Ovis aries: one gene and its partners. The protein of the gene in region 4 interacts with the protein of the main gene of each other region in a biochemical or structural test. Links are inferred from orthologs where the notes say so. Each region holds a gene or a part of one and is shown on either strand. Other genes may lie near its edges. The genes, in order: FGF6, NCAM1, FGF8 and FGFR1.

Region 1 (4,052 bases), on a different chromosome or scaffold from region 4:
CCACACTTTACCAGATGAAAGTAATCACAGAAGACCGCTGGGCTTCAAGGATTCTGAGAGGACAAAACGGACATGCAAGGCTTGGCGAAACTTCTAACCAAAGCGTCATCCAGGTGAACTAAGCTGCAGGGCAGAAGGCAGGTGGACGCCACGGACTGGAGGTGGGGACCCAGGCCAAGGCTGGAGCTTACAGTTGGAGGGGAATGCATGCAGTCTCAGCGAAGGCCCTGGGCAGCAGGCCTCCTCCTAGAAGCCTTCCCCACACTGCCCGCACGCTCCACTGTGAGTGAGTGCTATTGAAATGGTTCTATGAGGTACCCTTGGCCTAGAGCAAGCTCACTCAATTCATGGAAATCTCACTTCTATGACAGGCGTCATGCAGAGGTTGCAAGCACTGGGTTTGGGCTTTGGCCACCTTTATATGTTCTGGCTTTGCAGCTTACTAGCTGTCATCATTTGGGCAAGTCACTTAAGCTTGCCCCCTGCCTCAACCTCCTCATCTTTGAAATGGGAATGAGAGCAGTCAGGTGGCCAAGGGTGAACCCCAGTAGGAAAAGGGCTGGTGACTCTGTCCAGGGCTGGACGCAGCTCCTACCCTCTGGCTGGTTGCACGCCAGGACCTGTGTGGAGAACAGAAGCCCAACCCTAGCCCCACCTCCCTCCACAATCCTCAAGACATTTGGAGACCCCCTGTCCAATCCCTGTTCTCTCTTGCTAAAGGGGTGCAGCCTTCCAGCATCCTCCCAGCCTCGGTGGCCTTAACTATGAGCTCTTTCCATGAACAGGGTGACTCAAGGGCCCCAGTCATCACCCGCCACCACGCCTCCCCCATCCCTGGCTTTACCCTTTGCCCTCTAAATAAGGAAGCCAGCGCTGCCAGGCCAAGGACTTCTGCCCAATTTGGGTCCTGGGTGGCCTCTCGCCTCCCTCTTCCCCTGGGCCCCCAGCCAACTCCCCCTCCCTCAGAGATGCGCCCTGCTCACTTCATTCCTGCCTCATAGTTGGAATGACAACAGCTCTCAGAATCTGTGGGGTGTGTGTGTGGGGGGGGTGCCGGGGGTCTGGGGAGGCAGCCAGGCCGTGGAGCAGGTTAATGTTACAGCCCTGGATAAGTGAGCTGGGCCACTTGACGTCAGGGTGATGATGGGTGGCAGGGAGGGCCAAGCGGCTGAACTATAAAGACAAGTCCAATCCGATATAATCAACTCGGGTCGGAGTGAGCGGGCCAGCCAGGCAGCGTCCCCAAGCCATGGTCCCTACCGGCCGCGGCTCAGCCTGGGTCCCTCTGCTCCAGACCCAAGTGCCCAAAGCCGGCTTTGGTTTCATGTCAGCAGCCTTCAACTGCCTTCCAAAAATAAGCCCCTGCCGCCATGCCGAGGGGAGAAAAACAAGAAGGGCGGTATTTTTAGGGCCATTAATTCTGACCACGTGCCTGAGAGGCAAGGTGGATGGCCCGGGGACAGACGCTGCTCATCACTATGTCCCGGGGAGCAGGACGTCCGCAGGGCACGCTGTGGGCTCTCGTCTTCCTCGGCGTCCTAGTGGGCATGGTGGTGCCCTCTCCCGCAGGCACCCGAGCCAACGGCACGCTGCTGGCCTCAAGGGGCTGGGGCACCCTGCTGTCCAGGTCTCGGGCCGGGCTGGCCGGAGAGATCGCAGGCGTGAACTGGGAGAGTGGCTATTTGGTGGGGATCAAGAGGCAGCGGAGGCTGTACTGCAACGTGGGCATCGGCTTCCACCTTCAGGTGCCCCCCGACGGCCGGATCAGCGGGACCCACGAGGAGAACCCCTACAGTGAGTGCCATCTGCAGCCAGTTGGGGAAGCCAGGGGATGGGACTCCAGCAGGTCTCTGGTGCCTGGGGTCCTATGATGAAGGGGGAAGGAGGATTCTCCACCTGGGTGCCCACTAGCCTAGCCACCTCCCCCAACTCGCTTTGCTCCTGCAGGGTGCATAGGCTGAGGTCTGAGCATCCTCTGCCACCCGCCCATGGAGCCCCTGCGGCATCAATTCCTTCAGTATTTCAGGCACAGCCATGGCCTCAGAGAACCACCAGGAACCCCCAGCCAGGGGGAGCCACAAAATGAGGGTGGAGAGAACCGGCAAGGATGCTTAGATCAGATTAGATATGAGCTGCTTTTTATTTCACTTCCCTCTTTGAGAGGAAAGGCAAATCATTTGCAAAATTTCCAGCTGCAGCTTGTCCTTCTTTCTAGTTCAGCTTGCCCCCACCCCCCATGCCCGCCCTACAAGTTGGTGGGTTGCTGTCTAGATGGGCTAGCCCCAGGAGGGGATGGGGCTGGAGGATCCAGGGCAGCCGTCAGACTCTGTGTGGCTGCAGTGTTTGCAAGATTAGATAGGCTGAAATGTGTTGAAATGCGAGGAGACATTTTAAACAAAGCTAATCAGAAATTACTTTTTTTTTAATCCACGTCAAGGACCTCGTGTGATTAAGCCCAGATTCGAAGCTACTCTTAGGTAGATGCCCAGGTGGCCACTGGGATCTCTAACTCCAGTGTCAGAACTTCCCCCTTGCAGAACTTGATTGTTAACAGTTCAGTAAAATGGCCCAAGCTGACAACTCAGCTTCCAAAGTGAGATCAGGGTGGAGGCAATAGAAGGCCTGACTTTCTAGAAGCAGGAGGGTGGGCCTAGATGCCCTTTGTAGGGGGGGTCACCTTTAGCTTGACATCCCACTCTGCTTTGCGCAATCCTGGGGTAACACAGCCCCTGTCTCTTTGGCAGGCCTGCTGGAGATTTCCACAGTGGAGAGAGGTGTGGTGAGCCTCTTTGGGGTGAAGAGCGCCCTCTTCGTCGCCATGAACAGTAAAGGAAAATTATACGCCACGGTGAGTCCATCAGGCCAGGGGAAGCTTCCGGCTGCACGAGGCCTGCCTGTGTGCTCAGTTGCTCAGTCGTGTCTGGCAGGCTTCTCTGTCCACGGGATTCTCCAGGCTGGAGTGAGTTGCCATTTCCTCCTCCAGGGGATCTTCCAGACTCGGGGATTGAACCTGCACCTCCTGTATTAGCAGGTGGACTCTTTACCACTGAGCCACCTAGGAAGCCCCTGCATGAGGCCTGAAGAGTGTGCAGTTGAAGAAAGTAATGCAAACTCTTGAGCAGAGATGTGCATATTCATCTAGAAGGAGGAGGGGGGCTGTGGGAGGAGCCGGTGCGAGTAAGGTGCTTGCAGCTCTGTGCTGGATCGTGTTTTTCTTGATCCCACCTGTTGGAGCCTTGTAGCAAGAAAGGAACCGTAGCTCAGAGGGCTATAGGGTCCAAGGGAAGCCAGAGCTCTGCATAAAGCTGCTGTCCAAGCTTACGGTCAGGCCCTGAGCTGGAGAGGCCCAGAGAAGCAGGCTTTGTTTCAGCCTAGACATGCTGCTCCCATGAGCCACCCTCCAGCCACAAGCACAGCCCGGGAAGAAGAAATGAAGCGCTTTTCCTCACCTTTATCAGTGTGTGGACATCTCACTTTAAGGTTTTAAGCCCTCTGACCTCTGATCCCAGCTGCCAAAGAACCATGCCTCCCACTGTACCCCCTTAGCTGGCACCAGCCTCCACCTCTGCCTTCTCCCATCACCCGTCACGGCTGGTGGGGGCAATGCTAGCACTTGGGTTAACCTCCCCAACTTCCACGTTTCCCCACTTCTCTGCTCTCTCTGACCCCTTCCTTCCTGGGTCTCCCAGCCCATAATTTTGGCATATTCCAAAACGTGGAAGGGGAAAGCATTCCTATGAAGGCAGAGACCCTGGGAGTTCTCGCGACTGAAATAAGAAGGCTAAAAAGGAAGACCTGTGAGCCATGGCCGAGGAATAGCAGAGTGACTATTTCTGGGGAGGGCGTGGAGGGCCGTTCTACCCCTGCGTGGGGACAGACGGGAGCAGGAAGTGAAAGCGGAGGCTCTGGTACCCGGGGCCGGCATCCAGGGAGGCTGTCCCAGCAGACCAGGGCTGTGAAATGCCCGAAGCGGGAGCCCAGGTGGCCTCGGCCTGTGATCTGCAGCGCTAGCACCTCTCTGTCTGTGTTGGTTTGTGTGACGACAAGGCGTG
Region 2 (3,561 bases), on a different chromosome or scaffold from region 4:
GTCTTTCTGGAGCCGCTGTCCTTCTTTGCAGATGCCCCCAAGCTGCAGGGCCCTGTGGCTGTGTACACTTGGGAGGGGAACCAGGTGAACATCACCTGCGAGGTGTTTGCCTACCCCAGTGCCACTATCTCATGGTTCCGAGACGGTCAGCTGCTGCCCAGCTCCAACTACAGCAACATCAAGATCTACAACACCCCATCGGCCAGCTACCTGGAGGTGAGGTGGTGTGGGGGCAGGGGTGCGGTGCAGGAGGCGTGGTCCAAGTGTGGACAGGCTGCTGGGTACAGCTGATATCCTCCCCCTCGCTTCTCTGACTCATCCTGCGCAGTGGAGCCATTGGTTGGGGAAGAAAGCCAGCCTCAGCTTGCCCCTTTATCTCGAGGAGCCAGATCAGGGCCTGGAGGGGAGCAGAGTGTTCCTTCCTCATGAGACCCCTTTTCTATTATTTAATATTTTTTTACTGAAGCATAGTTGATTTGCAGTGTTGTGCCCATCTCTGCTGTGCAGCATCACGACTCAGTCATACACAGAGATGCGTTCTTCTTTATTATCGTCTTTCCCATTATAGTTTATCCCAGGAAATTGGATGGAGTTCCCTGTGCTGTACCTTGTCATTTATCCATTCTGTATGTAACAGTTTGCATCTACAAGCTCTATGAGCTGGAGCTTTACTGATTCTACTCTTAGTTCAGTAAATAAGGATCTGAGGTTGCAGCCATTCCGTGGGACACTTATAACCCAAGCGTTCCTTCTCTCTAAAGGTGACCCCAGACTCTGAAAATGATTTTGGAAACTACAACTGTACCGCAGTGAACCGCATCGGACAGGAGTCTTTGGAATTCATCCTTGTCCAAGCAGGTGAGTGCCCCTTCCAGCTATACCAGCCTCACTCTGGCTGGTCCATTTCATGACCTTCTGTGATGACAGAATGTGGGAAGAAGGGGGAGTAAGGGTCAGCAACCAAAGGGTAAGGAGGCTGAGAGGTAAGGGGGCTTAAGGATCTGGACATGGGGTATGTTGGGAGAGAATTATTTGCTGGGGTGGACCAGGAAGACAGAATACAAATGACAAGATTTGCAGGAGTTAAAGAGAGTCATGTTTCATGATTGAATGTTACATCCTGGGCCAAATCCGGCTGACCTGGGTCTCCATCTGTGTCTTCCCCACAGACACCCCATCCTCACCGTCCATCGACCAGGTGGAGCCATACTCTAGCACAGCACAGGTGCAGTTTGATGAGCCAGAGGCCACAGGCGGGGTGCCCATCCTCAAATACAAAGCTGAGTGGAGAGCGATGGGCGAGGAGGTGTGGCACTCCAGGTGGTACGATGCCAAGGAAGGTGAGCTGCAGAGTCGGAATTTACTTGGGAATGATGTCTCTGGGCACACACACCCCTGCCTTGAGTTCACCAGATCCTGGCTTCTGACATGACACCCCCCAACTGGGGAATGCCAGATGCCACCGCCTGCCGTCCCGCTGATGTCTAGGCTGTGGTCACGTCTCATGAGAGACTTGGCCTTCTGCCACCCCAGCACTTCAGAACCTGGTTCTCAGGTGACTGTGCCAGGGCGGATGAGGCCGGCTCAGCTGCATTCCAAGCAGAAGCCCTGCTTAAGTGCTGGGCACAACCCAGAGGAGTCCTGTCTACCCTGCTCTGTGTATTTGGCCTCCATGTGCGTCAGCCATCCTGTCCTGCTTGTGTGTATTCAGGGATTGCCGTGTAATTAGGACATTAACCTAATCAGCAGAGCCAGCGAGACAGCTCTTTTAAATCAGTTCTATGATATACTTCCAAAGATTTGAAAAATGACCCTTGCACGACTGCAGTTTGAAGTTTCTGAGCTCAGCTCATCTTGCCCTGAGGATTGAATGTGTTTACGTCTGACTCTCCCTTTGAGGTTTAATTGGAATAAGTCAGTGAAGTAAGTTTTGTTTCCGTAGAAATTTTTAATCCCAGAAACGAGGGGAGAGCTGAGAATGGATTGGATTAACATGCAGTGTCACAGCAATTCAGAGACATCCTCCAACTCAGTTTTACTGAGAACTCATCCTTCCAGGAAGCAGGCTCCCATCACTCCAGCTTTGGGGAGGGCTAGGAGGACTTTCGGCATAATCAGGATTAGAACTAGAAGAAAATCATCCTTCACCTCCCTGACATCCCTCTGAAACCTCATACCAACTTTGTGGCAGGTTAATCCCATGTCCAACAGACTTTTTGTTTCCCAGTTAACTTTTTTAATGTAGTAAGATATATATAGCATGAGCTTCCCAGCTGGCACTAGTGGTAAAGAATCCACCTGCCAATGCAGGAGACACGGGTTCGATCCCTGGGTCAGAAAGATCCCCGGGAAGAGGAAATGGCAACCCACTCCAGTATTCTTGCCTGGAGAATCCCGTGGACACAGGACACTGGTGGGCTATAATCTGTGGGGTCACAAAATTCGGACATGACTTGAGTGAGCACCATATACAACATAAAAATTATTATTTTAACCATTTTTTAGTGTTCACAGTTCAGTGGCATTAAATCATTATGCGGTCACCACTGTCCGTCTCCAGAACTTTTTCATCCTAAAGTCAATACCCATTAAATAACAACTCCCCATTCCCTCCTGCCCCAGCCCCTGGCAGCCACCCTTCTCTATAGAGTTGACTCTTGATGTTGTTGTTTAGTCTCCGAGTCATGTCTGAATCTTTTGCAACCCTCTGGACTGTAGCCCGCCAGGCTCCTCTGTCCATGGGATTTCCCAGGCAAGAATACTGGAGTGAGTTGCCATTTCCTCCTCCAGGAGATCTTCCTGACCCAGGGATCAAACCTGCATCCCCTGCTTCTCCTGCAGTGGCAGACAATTCTTTCCCACTGCGTCACCATGGAAGCCCATAGTTGACTATTAATAGTCTCTATATGGTTGACTATTCTAGGTCCTTCATATAAGTGGAATGATATAGTATTTGTCCTTTTGTATCTGTCCTATCTCAGTTAGCGTGATGTCCTCAAGGTTCATCCCCGTCGTAGTGCATCAGAATGGCATGCCTTTTTAGAACTGGACAATACTCCACTGTGTGGAAGACCACGTTCTGTTTCTGCATTCATCTGTCGGGGGACATTTGGGTTGTTTCCACAGTTCAGCTGTTGTAAACAAGACGGCTGTGAATGTTTGTACAGATATCTGTTCCAGTCCCTGCTTCCAGCCCTTTGGTACATAGATCCAGAACTGGACCTGCTGGATCGAATTCTACCTTTAATCGCAGAGGGATTTGCCGTCCTGTTTTCCGCAGCAGCTGCACTATTTCACCAATAGGCATTTCCCCCTTTGTGACCCTTTACATGTTCTCACAACAGCCAGCCTGGAGGGCATCGTCACCATCGTGGGCCTCAAGCCTGAGACGACGTACGCAGTCCGGCTGGCAGCCCTCAACGGCAAGGGCCTGGGCGAGATCAGCGCCGCCTCCGAGTTCAAGACGCAGCCAGTCCGTAAGTATAGCCTGCTGCCCGGCTCATCCCTTTGGGGTGGGGGGACGCATCCAGTGTTCAGATGACAGCTTTTTGTCTTTACAGG
Region 3 (4,235 bases), on a different chromosome or scaffold from region 4:
CTGGGAAAGGCTTAGACAACTCACTACCTTCTTTGATACTTCCCCCTCCCCCAGGGTTGACAAAGCACCAGTCCAGGTTTAGCACACAGTAGGTGTGTAAATACCTGTTCAGTGCACAAATAATGGGAGTCTGAGCGAAAAAGACTAGGCAACCTGGATCTAAGCCTCTTTCCTGGAAAAGCAGCTGAGGTTATTTTTGCGCCCACTGCCTGCCGCTTTGGGGAGGGCATGGTGGTGGCAAGTGACTGGGGTTTTCCCTATGGGTGGGCTCTCTCCTTTTTGGGTGGTGTAGTCAGGCTTCAGTCTAGCGTGTTGGGGGCGGGAGGGACAGGAGCAGGGGTGATGGTGATAATGAGGGCAGGAAGCAGGAAAGGAGATGTTTCTCGATCTCAGGGCCTTCTTGGTGACTGAGCGATGCAGGAGAGACCGGCAAGGCAGGGTACTCAGCAGAAAGATGGGGGTGGTTGTCGGCTCCCGGTCTCACAGGCGCGCACTGCCAGAGGAAAGCGCACAAGCGTTCACCCCAGTGTTGGAGGCTACTTGCAGGCGGCAGCCCCAGACAGACAAAGCACACAGTAGGTGGCTCAGAGAACCGCTGTCTAGCTTGAGGCTTAAGCGGACCGGGTCCCACGGTGGAGACCGGGCGCCTTCCCACTCGGGCGCCCGGGGGGTCCAGGAAGCCCCAGCAGAGGGTCTCGGGACTCCACAGGGTGGGCGGCCCGATGCGCCCCCATCCCCGCACGCCTGGACCCCAAGAACGCGCAAGGGGACAAGTCCGGGATGCGGAGAGGGGCCCAGACAGGCAGCCCTCGCCCCTTGCAGCGGGTCCCCAGACCCCTCCCCTCACCCAGACCCCCAATCCCCGACCCTCCGACCGCCCCGCCCCGGTCCGCCCCGCCCCCGCCCCGGGCTGCGTCCGGGCCCCCGCTCCCAGCCGGGGGCTGCGGGCTCCGGCCGCCCGCCCCGCGCTCCCCCCTCGCGCCCGGTGCGGCGCCCCCCGCCCCCACCCCTCCCCCTCCCTTCCCACTTACCCACCCCCCCTGCCGGCCCGTTACCCTCCCTCCCGCTCCGGCTCCTCAGCAGCCAGCGGCCAACGGCTCCGGCTGCGGCGCAGAGGCACTCGGCGCGGCGCGGCGAGCTCGACATTCCCTGGGACCCGCGGAGCTGCGTCCCGATCGCCCCGGCTCCCGGCCTCGAGCCACCCTCGAGCCCCCCTCCGCCGCCGCCGCCCTCGGCTCGTCGGTCCGCTGCCTCCCGCGAGCCGGCGAGATCCCGCCGGGGCTGTGGGTGCTCCCCGGCCGCGCGCCATGGGCAGCCCCCGCTCGGCGCTGAGCTGCCTGTGAGTACCGCCGTCCCGCGCCCCCGGCCGCGCGCCCGCCGGCCCGCCCGCCACTCACCCCGCGCCCCTCTCTCCCCGCCCGCTTTTGTCTCCCACAGGCTGTTGCACTTGCTGGTTCTCTGCCTCCAAGCCCAGGTAAGGCGCACTGCGCCGGGGCCGGCGGGGCACGCCGGGGGGCGAGGTCGGGCAGGCGGGGGCAAGAGGACCGACCCCGCGGCCGCGCGGCGGGCTGGAAGTGCTGGGAAGCATCTTAGAACAGCAACCCCTAACTATCCCGAGGAGGGGTTAAGGACCAGAGAGGTAGCGCCGGCCTCAGGTCACACAGCCTGTGAGCCGCGCGAGGCTAGAACCCGAGGTTTCGGAGTCCGGCGCTGTCTCCCACGCCTCCCAGCCCGGTGGGGGTGGTTGGGGAACTCGGCGGCAGCCAGTCCCGGCCGCGCCGAGGAAGGGGGCATTCGGGGCAGGGGGCGTTCGATGTCAGAGGTCCGGTGACGGCCTCAGGGACCCTCTCCGCGGCTCTCTGGAGAGACTTGCGGCGGGTCTGGCCGAAAGACCAGGTGCCCAGGGCTTCTGCGGTCTCCACATTTGCTCCGTGAATTTGTCTTTATAAATGTCAGGGGTCGGGCCGCGCTGCCTCCCGACTTAAAAGCGCCCTGCTCTTCTAGGAAGGCCCGGGCGGGGGGCCTGCGTTGGGCAGGGAGCTCGCTTCCCTGTTCCGAGCTGGCCGGGAGTCCCAGGGTGTTTCCCAACAGGTGGGTCCAGATCCTTCCCCATCCCGGGCGCATCCATGCTAGACTGGGTCTGTCCGACTTTCCTGGGTAGGGTGGGGGTGGTCCGAACTGGCATGTTGGGGGGACCCCAGCCCCTGCCGGCTGCCTGGGGCAGTGGAGGGAGGTGCCGGGTGATGGGGGCCACTCGGGCCCCTGGGCAGGGTAGCATTATAATGGCGTGTTGTGTATTTTTCAATTTCCTAAAGGTAACTGTTCAGTCCTCACCTAATTTTACACAGCATGTGAGGGAGCAGAGCCTGGTGACAGATCAGCTCAGCCGCCGTCTCATCCGGACCTACCAACTCTACAGCCGCACCAGCGGGAAGCACGTGCAGGTCCTGGCCAACAAGCGCATCAACGCCATGGCAGAAGACGGGGACCCCTTCGGTAAGGAGCTGCACTGCGCTGGGGTTAAGGTAGCCTGCGGAGCACGCCCCTCCTCCCCAGGCTGGCCTGCTGTGACGGGACCCAGCAGTCGCATCTGCGCGCTGAGCTGAGGCCTGTAGGCTCCCCAGCTCAGAAGGGAAGGAGTTAAGCCGACAAACATCTTGGGGGTCAGCTGGAGAAGAGAGGGCTGGGGAAGGGACCCTGGGGAGTACTTGGCCCATAGGTGCCCTTTCCCTGCCCAGCAGATGAATGAATCCAGGAATCTCCCTTTCCACCTCCCCCTCTCATACCCCTCCCCACTGCAGGTGGAGGCAGAGGGTTCAGGGGGAGGGGGCCCAGGTTTAAGGGAAGCTCTTGAAAGAGGATATGTCACCAGGGCCCACAAAAGGAGAGTGGGAAAGAGAAGGGAGAGAAATCCCCTCAACTCTCCCAGGTTGGGGGGGGGGGCGGTGTACTGTGAACCTTAAATACTTTGATCAGGAGGGTCAATTACACATGGGGACTAGGCTAGGAAAGGGGCCTTCCCCACTTCACTTGTCCAGGAACCCAGGCGGTCGGTCAGAGCGGGGCTCCTGGCTCCCGGTGGGGTGGTGAGTACAGGGAGCTACTGTGGGGTGGAGAGGCTGAGGACTGATTGATTTCTAAAACATTCAATATTCCTGCCTTGAAACAAGGCCAATTTCCAGAGTCCTGGATGTACCAAGAGAAAAGCAAGTCCTCTGGGCGGCTGGTGTTGTTTTTAGAGAGCGATTATTGTGAGTTTAAAAACCTTTAAATAATGACCAAGTTAAACAAGCATGAAAGGAGAGGGGAAGACTCTATTAAAATGTAATAAAAAGGTGAAGCATTTTAAGAGCTAAGAAGAAAAATGAAGAATGATATAAAACAGAAAAAGAACGAGCCTTTTTTTCAGATGTGGAGTTTGAAAGGAGTTGCAAGTCTGTAAATGTTAAAAAAGAGGTTCAAGATTGTTCTCTATGAATCTCTGGAGAGACCCCCGCGTCTGGCAGAGCGATTAAAACTCTTCTTACTTTCACCTTTTTTAACATTTCCTGAATACTTTCTCCTCTTCTCGAGCCAGTTTGGGGGATCGAGTATGTCTCGCTGCATTTTTTCTGCATCGACGTAGCTGACTTCCCTTCAAAGCTGGAGAAGGAGACATAATTTTCCTGGGATAAATCTGTCACTGGGGTGGAAGAATAGGTTTGAAAATGTTAAGCTTTCCAAAAGCCCGGTCGGGAAAGCCGCTGTAAACTGCTGCCCCAGCTCCCCAGCTCCATCCAGGAAGGAGAGTGGGGGCTTTCTGCAGTGGGGGTGGGGGTGGGGGTGGCCTGCCCGGTGGCCGAGCTCCCCTGCTGGGCTGGTAGGGCCAGCCTGCCGCCCCTTTGTCCCTTCAAACTGGCTGCTCGTTGCCCTTCTCAGCTTCCAAGGAAAGGGAATGAATGCCTGGCCCCTCCTGGGTTTGCTCCATTGGAGCAAATGGTCCAGCATCCTCGGGGTTTGGGGAGCGAAGAAGAAGAAGCTAAGCTGGTCATGGGGGGATTCATCTTCAGACATCAGAGGTCTGATGCCCACTTCTCTTCTTACAGTTATAGGAGGCTTCCCAGGTTCCCTGGTCCCTGCCTGGTGGGCAGGAGCAGGAGCTGGAGGGCCCAAGAGCAGAGGCTTAGGGTGTATAGCCAGGACAGGTAGAATCTGGGGGAGAATGGCAGAGAAGTCCCAGGGGCTTCCTTATGGGT
Region 4 (3,561 bases):
ACTCTGGGCGGCTCCCCATACCCTGGGGTCCCCGTGGAGGAGCTTTTCAAGCTGCTGAAGGAGGGTCATCGTATGGACAAGCCCAGTAACTGCACCAACGAGCTGTAAGCCTGAGAAAAGATGCCTGGGGTCCTGGGCTGGGCCCTGGGGGTGGGCTGGGCTCGGGGCGTAGAGGGAGGAGTAGGAGGCGCGCAGCCAGCCGCCCGCGGCCCATCCACCCTGAGCCTGTCCTCTCCCCCCACCCCGACCTCGCCATCCTGCCCCAGCTACATGATGATGAGAGACTGCTGGCACGCAGTCCCCTCTCAGAGACCCACCTTCAAGCAGCTGGTGGAAGACCTGGACCGCATCGTGGCCTTGACCTCCAACCAGGTGAGGCGGCCCTTCCCAGATCCTGTGTGCCGACCGGCCCGAATTCTCGCGGGATTCTAGTTCTCGCGGAATGAATCCTACCGCCGCGGGAAGCAGAGTGCGGGTCTTGCATCTTTTTGTCTCCGCCCTCAGGAGTACCTGGACCTGTCAATGCCCCTGGACCAATATTCCCCCAGCTTCCCCGACACCCGAAGCTCCACCTGCTCCTCCGGGGAGGATTCCGTCTTCTCTCACGAGCCCTTGCCCGAGGAACCCTGCCTGCCCCGACACCAGGCCCAGCTGGCCAACGGCGGACTCAAACGGCGCTGACTGGCCCCATACCCCGCACCCCTCCCCGGACTCCATCCTCAACTGTGGCCCCGCCCCTCCTCCCGCTGGACTCGCTGCCTCCCCTGCGCTCTGCTGGCCGGCCTCCCTGAGGCCCGCACGCCCGAGCTCCCCTCCTCTCCTCCTCACAGCCTGACAGAGGAGCAGGGAGGCCGGTCCTTGCTGACGGCTACTACGTGGCCTGCCAAACGTTGGACCAAGACCCCCCCACTGCCGCCTGGAGGGTCGGGCAGTGGGGGCCGAGCCGCCCTCGAGCGAGAGCCGACTTAGCTCTCCTGCATTGGTTTTGCCTGCTCTGCACAGCCCATGTGCCCGTGTTTTGGTGGCAGGTCCTCGGGCTACAGCGGGAGTTGCGTGTAGAGGTGGTCAGCGCTCGGGCCTCCGCAGAAGGCGACCTCTGTTCCAGACGGATAGTGCCAGTGGCTTATTGATTCCGATACTAATTTGCTTTTATGACCAAATACCTGGTACCCGAGGGTGGGGACGCAGAGGCCGGGAGCCGGCGGCGTGGCCCTGGGGCCCAGCCCCAAAGCAGGGGCTCTGTACATAGCTACGAAGAAAACACAAAGTGTATAAATCTGAGTATATATTTACATGTCTTTTTAAAAGGGTCGTTACCAGAGATTTACCCATTGGGTAAGATGCTCCTGGTGGTTGGGAGGCATCAGTTGCTATATATTAAAAAAAAAAAAAAAAAAGAAAATGTTTTTAAAAAGGTCATATATTTTTTGCTACTTTTGCTGTTTTATTTTTTTAAATTATGTTCTAAACCTATTTTCAGTTTAGGTCCCTCAATAAAAATTGCTGCTGCTTCAATTTTATACGGGCTGTGTGACACGGGAGAGGAGGCCGACTGTGAAGGAGCGAGGCTGCCGGGCTCTGGGGCTGGCTGTCCCAAGGTCTCTTCCCCATGGGTCCTTCTCCGAGGCCTCAGGACAGCCCTCCTTCCTCTGCCGGGCCTTGGGAAAGAAGGCAGGTAGGGGTCACTGGGCCCAGGGCCAGGCCCCACCGCCCCCTCCACCATACGTTTCCCTGGGGGGAATGTGGAGCCTCTGGGGTCTGAGAGTCAGACAGGGAGCTGAGGGCCCAGCTCCGAAGAGCCAGGAGTGGGGCTGAAGTGATGAAGAGGCAGGTCATGGATGGTTTGACCCTGGGCGGCAGGTACTCAGACCTAGGAGAGTGGCTGCTCCTCTGTGTGGGTATGGTTCTGCCTGTGCTTCTGTGTCAGGGAGGACCTGTTACCTAAGACCAGCTTTACACCCAGGGCCCTGGCTTCAGGTTTCTTGTCTCCCAGGCTATTCTGCCTACCTACCCCCACCCCCGCCAATACCATTCTGAATTCGAGTGATCAGACCGCGTGTGCTAGGGCTAGCACTTGGCCTCCTCCAGTTCTTCCCACAGGAACTCTACCCCAGCCCTAAGGAAAAGGAAGACATTCTGTGAAGGTGCATTTTGGCTGCTGGGGAATTTTCTTCCTCTGCCACCTGCTGGTTATCTCTCCCCCCACCAAGTAGGTGCCGGCTCCTTGGAACCTTAGGGCTCAGGCTGTTGGTTCACAGCCTCTGCCCCCAAAGCTTGCCCTTTGCCGGATCCCTTCTAAGTATAAAAGCAAGTCCAGTTTCGTTTGGGAAGAATGGGGTTGCTCCTGAAGTTTCCTTTCTGAGCTGTTTCTTGGCCCCTTCTAGTGTTGGCTCATTATAAAGTTCTGTTTTCTGCTGAGTAGCTCTGTGAATATGCAACTATCAACATACTCTGATATGTGTTCACGTTTAAGGAGGGCATATACTAGTGAAGAACAGAATCAGGAAATGAACTTTAGCTTTTAAAACCATTTGTGGGACAGCTTGTAGTGGCACCTTTCCTTGTAAAATACTGATGATAGTTTGGGCCCAGGGTCGTGTGAATGGATGGTCACTCTTTCACAAAGGGCTTTGCGTGCCTTCAGTAGAGGCAGTGGGACACAGCTCACTGTTGCTGTAACAGTGATGTCCTTGCTATTACTACTCTAATCACCCATGAATTTCCCGAGAGACTGAGCTGTCAAATCAAAGATAGTGAAATTGACCTGAGAGAAAATGAAATGGCCATTTTACTTAGCTGACCAGATTGGGTCTCTTGAGGAAAGAGATCCAGTTTATCTAATGAAGATGTCATCCTGTCAAGGCACTGAGTCTGTCTGGTTTCCTGAGGGTTAAAAGATGAGGGCCGGAGCATCGGTCGATACCACCTTCCCACCCTTTCTAATTGCCACAGGCCAGGGGTCACCAGTCCCCCGGCACCGCTAATGTACTATATTGATCTCAGGTAAGTAAGATTGAATCATGGCTGAAGGAAATTTATCTCCATGACAGTGAAGTCGCTGTGTTTCTCACAGCCGCCACTGGGGGGAGCCAGCGGGCCAGAACCCTGGGCAAAAGGAAGGTGTCGATCAGCGTTAAAGTTCCGTTAGTCTGACCCTACCTACTGGTGTGCACTGGTGGTGACAAGGAGATCTTTAGGTTTTAACACTATAGAGCATTTATTCGATATCACCGTTGCGACCTGTAATGACTGAAACACAGAATTAGTCACAGCACAGGTGCAGGTCCATACGTGCCAAGCCACCAACACCTTTCTGTTGAAGCAGAATTCTCAGGGTGTGAGATGGGCCAAGTCTGACATCACCACCGGGGTTGGGCTTTAGAAAATGCCTAAAATTATACTCGGTGAGATTATTAGCAGCTGGTGCAGCCACAGAAGATGCATTTGTGGGGAAGAGTAGAGAGCAGGGCAAGGAGACAGGCTTCCACTCAGCTGTTGGGAGGCAGGTGGGCAGGGACCCAAGCACTGGGGCAAGTTCTCTCTAGGTTGGCACTTAACAGT

What was found.
Region 1: the proteins of FGFR1 (region 4) and FGF6 interact in a biophysical measurement, tested with the Homo sapiens proteins (2 studies listed by BioGRID and IntAct, with this or other methods). The link is inferred for Ovis aries from reciprocal best matches to the Homo sapiens genes FGFR1 and FGF6.
Region 2: the proteins of FGFR1 (region 4) and NCAM1 form a complex in vitro, tested with the Homo sapiens proteins (2 studies listed by BioGRID and IntAct). The link is inferred for Ovis aries from reciprocal best matches to the Homo sapiens genes FGFR1 and NCAM1.
Region 3: the proteins of FGFR1 (region 4) and FGF8 interact in a biophysical measurement, tested with the Homo sapiens proteins (2 studies listed by BioGRID and IntAct, with this or other methods). The link is inferred for Ovis aries from reciprocal best matches to the Homo sapiens genes FGFR1 and FGF8.

What each region holds. Positions count from the first base shown.
Region 1 is NC_056056.1:211,494,737-211,498,788, forward strand, and holds the start of FGF6 (fibroblast growth factor 6), read left to right. Parts: upstream 1-1,199; 5' UTR 1,200-1,448; coding exon 1,449-1,794; intron 1,795-2,744; coding exon 2,745-2,848; intron 2,849-4,052. UniProt on the Homo sapiens protein: Plays an important role in the regulation of cell proliferation, cell differentiation, angiogenesis and myogenesis, and is required for normal muscle regeneration.
Region 2 is NC_056068.1:23,481,111-23,484,671, forward strand, and holds part of NCAM1 (neural cell adhesion molecule 1), read left to right. Parts: intron 1-31; coding exon 32-216; intron 217-761; coding exon 762-858; intron 859-1,169; coding exon 1,170-1,340; intron 1,341-3,344; coding exon 3,345-3,476; intron 3,477-3,561.
Region 3 is NC_056075.1:22,294,042-22,298,276, reverse strand, and holds the start of FGF8 (fibroblast growth factor 8), read left to right. Parts: upstream 1-1,407; 5' UTR 1,408-2,126; coding exon 2,127-2,496; intron 2,497-4,235. UniProt on the Homo sapiens protein: Plays an important role in the regulation of embryonic development, cell proliferation, cell differentiation and cell migration. Required for normal brain, eye, ear and limb development during embryogenesis.
Region 4 is NC_056079.1:32,638,976-32,642,536, reverse strand, and holds part of FGFR1 (fibroblast growth factor receptor 1), read left to right. Parts: coding exon 1-104; intron 105-266; coding exon 267-372; intron 373-504; coding exon 505-681; 3' UTR 682-3,561. UniProt on the Homo sapiens protein: Tyrosine-protein kinase that acts as a cell-surface receptor for fibroblast growth factors and plays an essential role in the regulation of embryonic development, cell proliferation, differentiation and migration.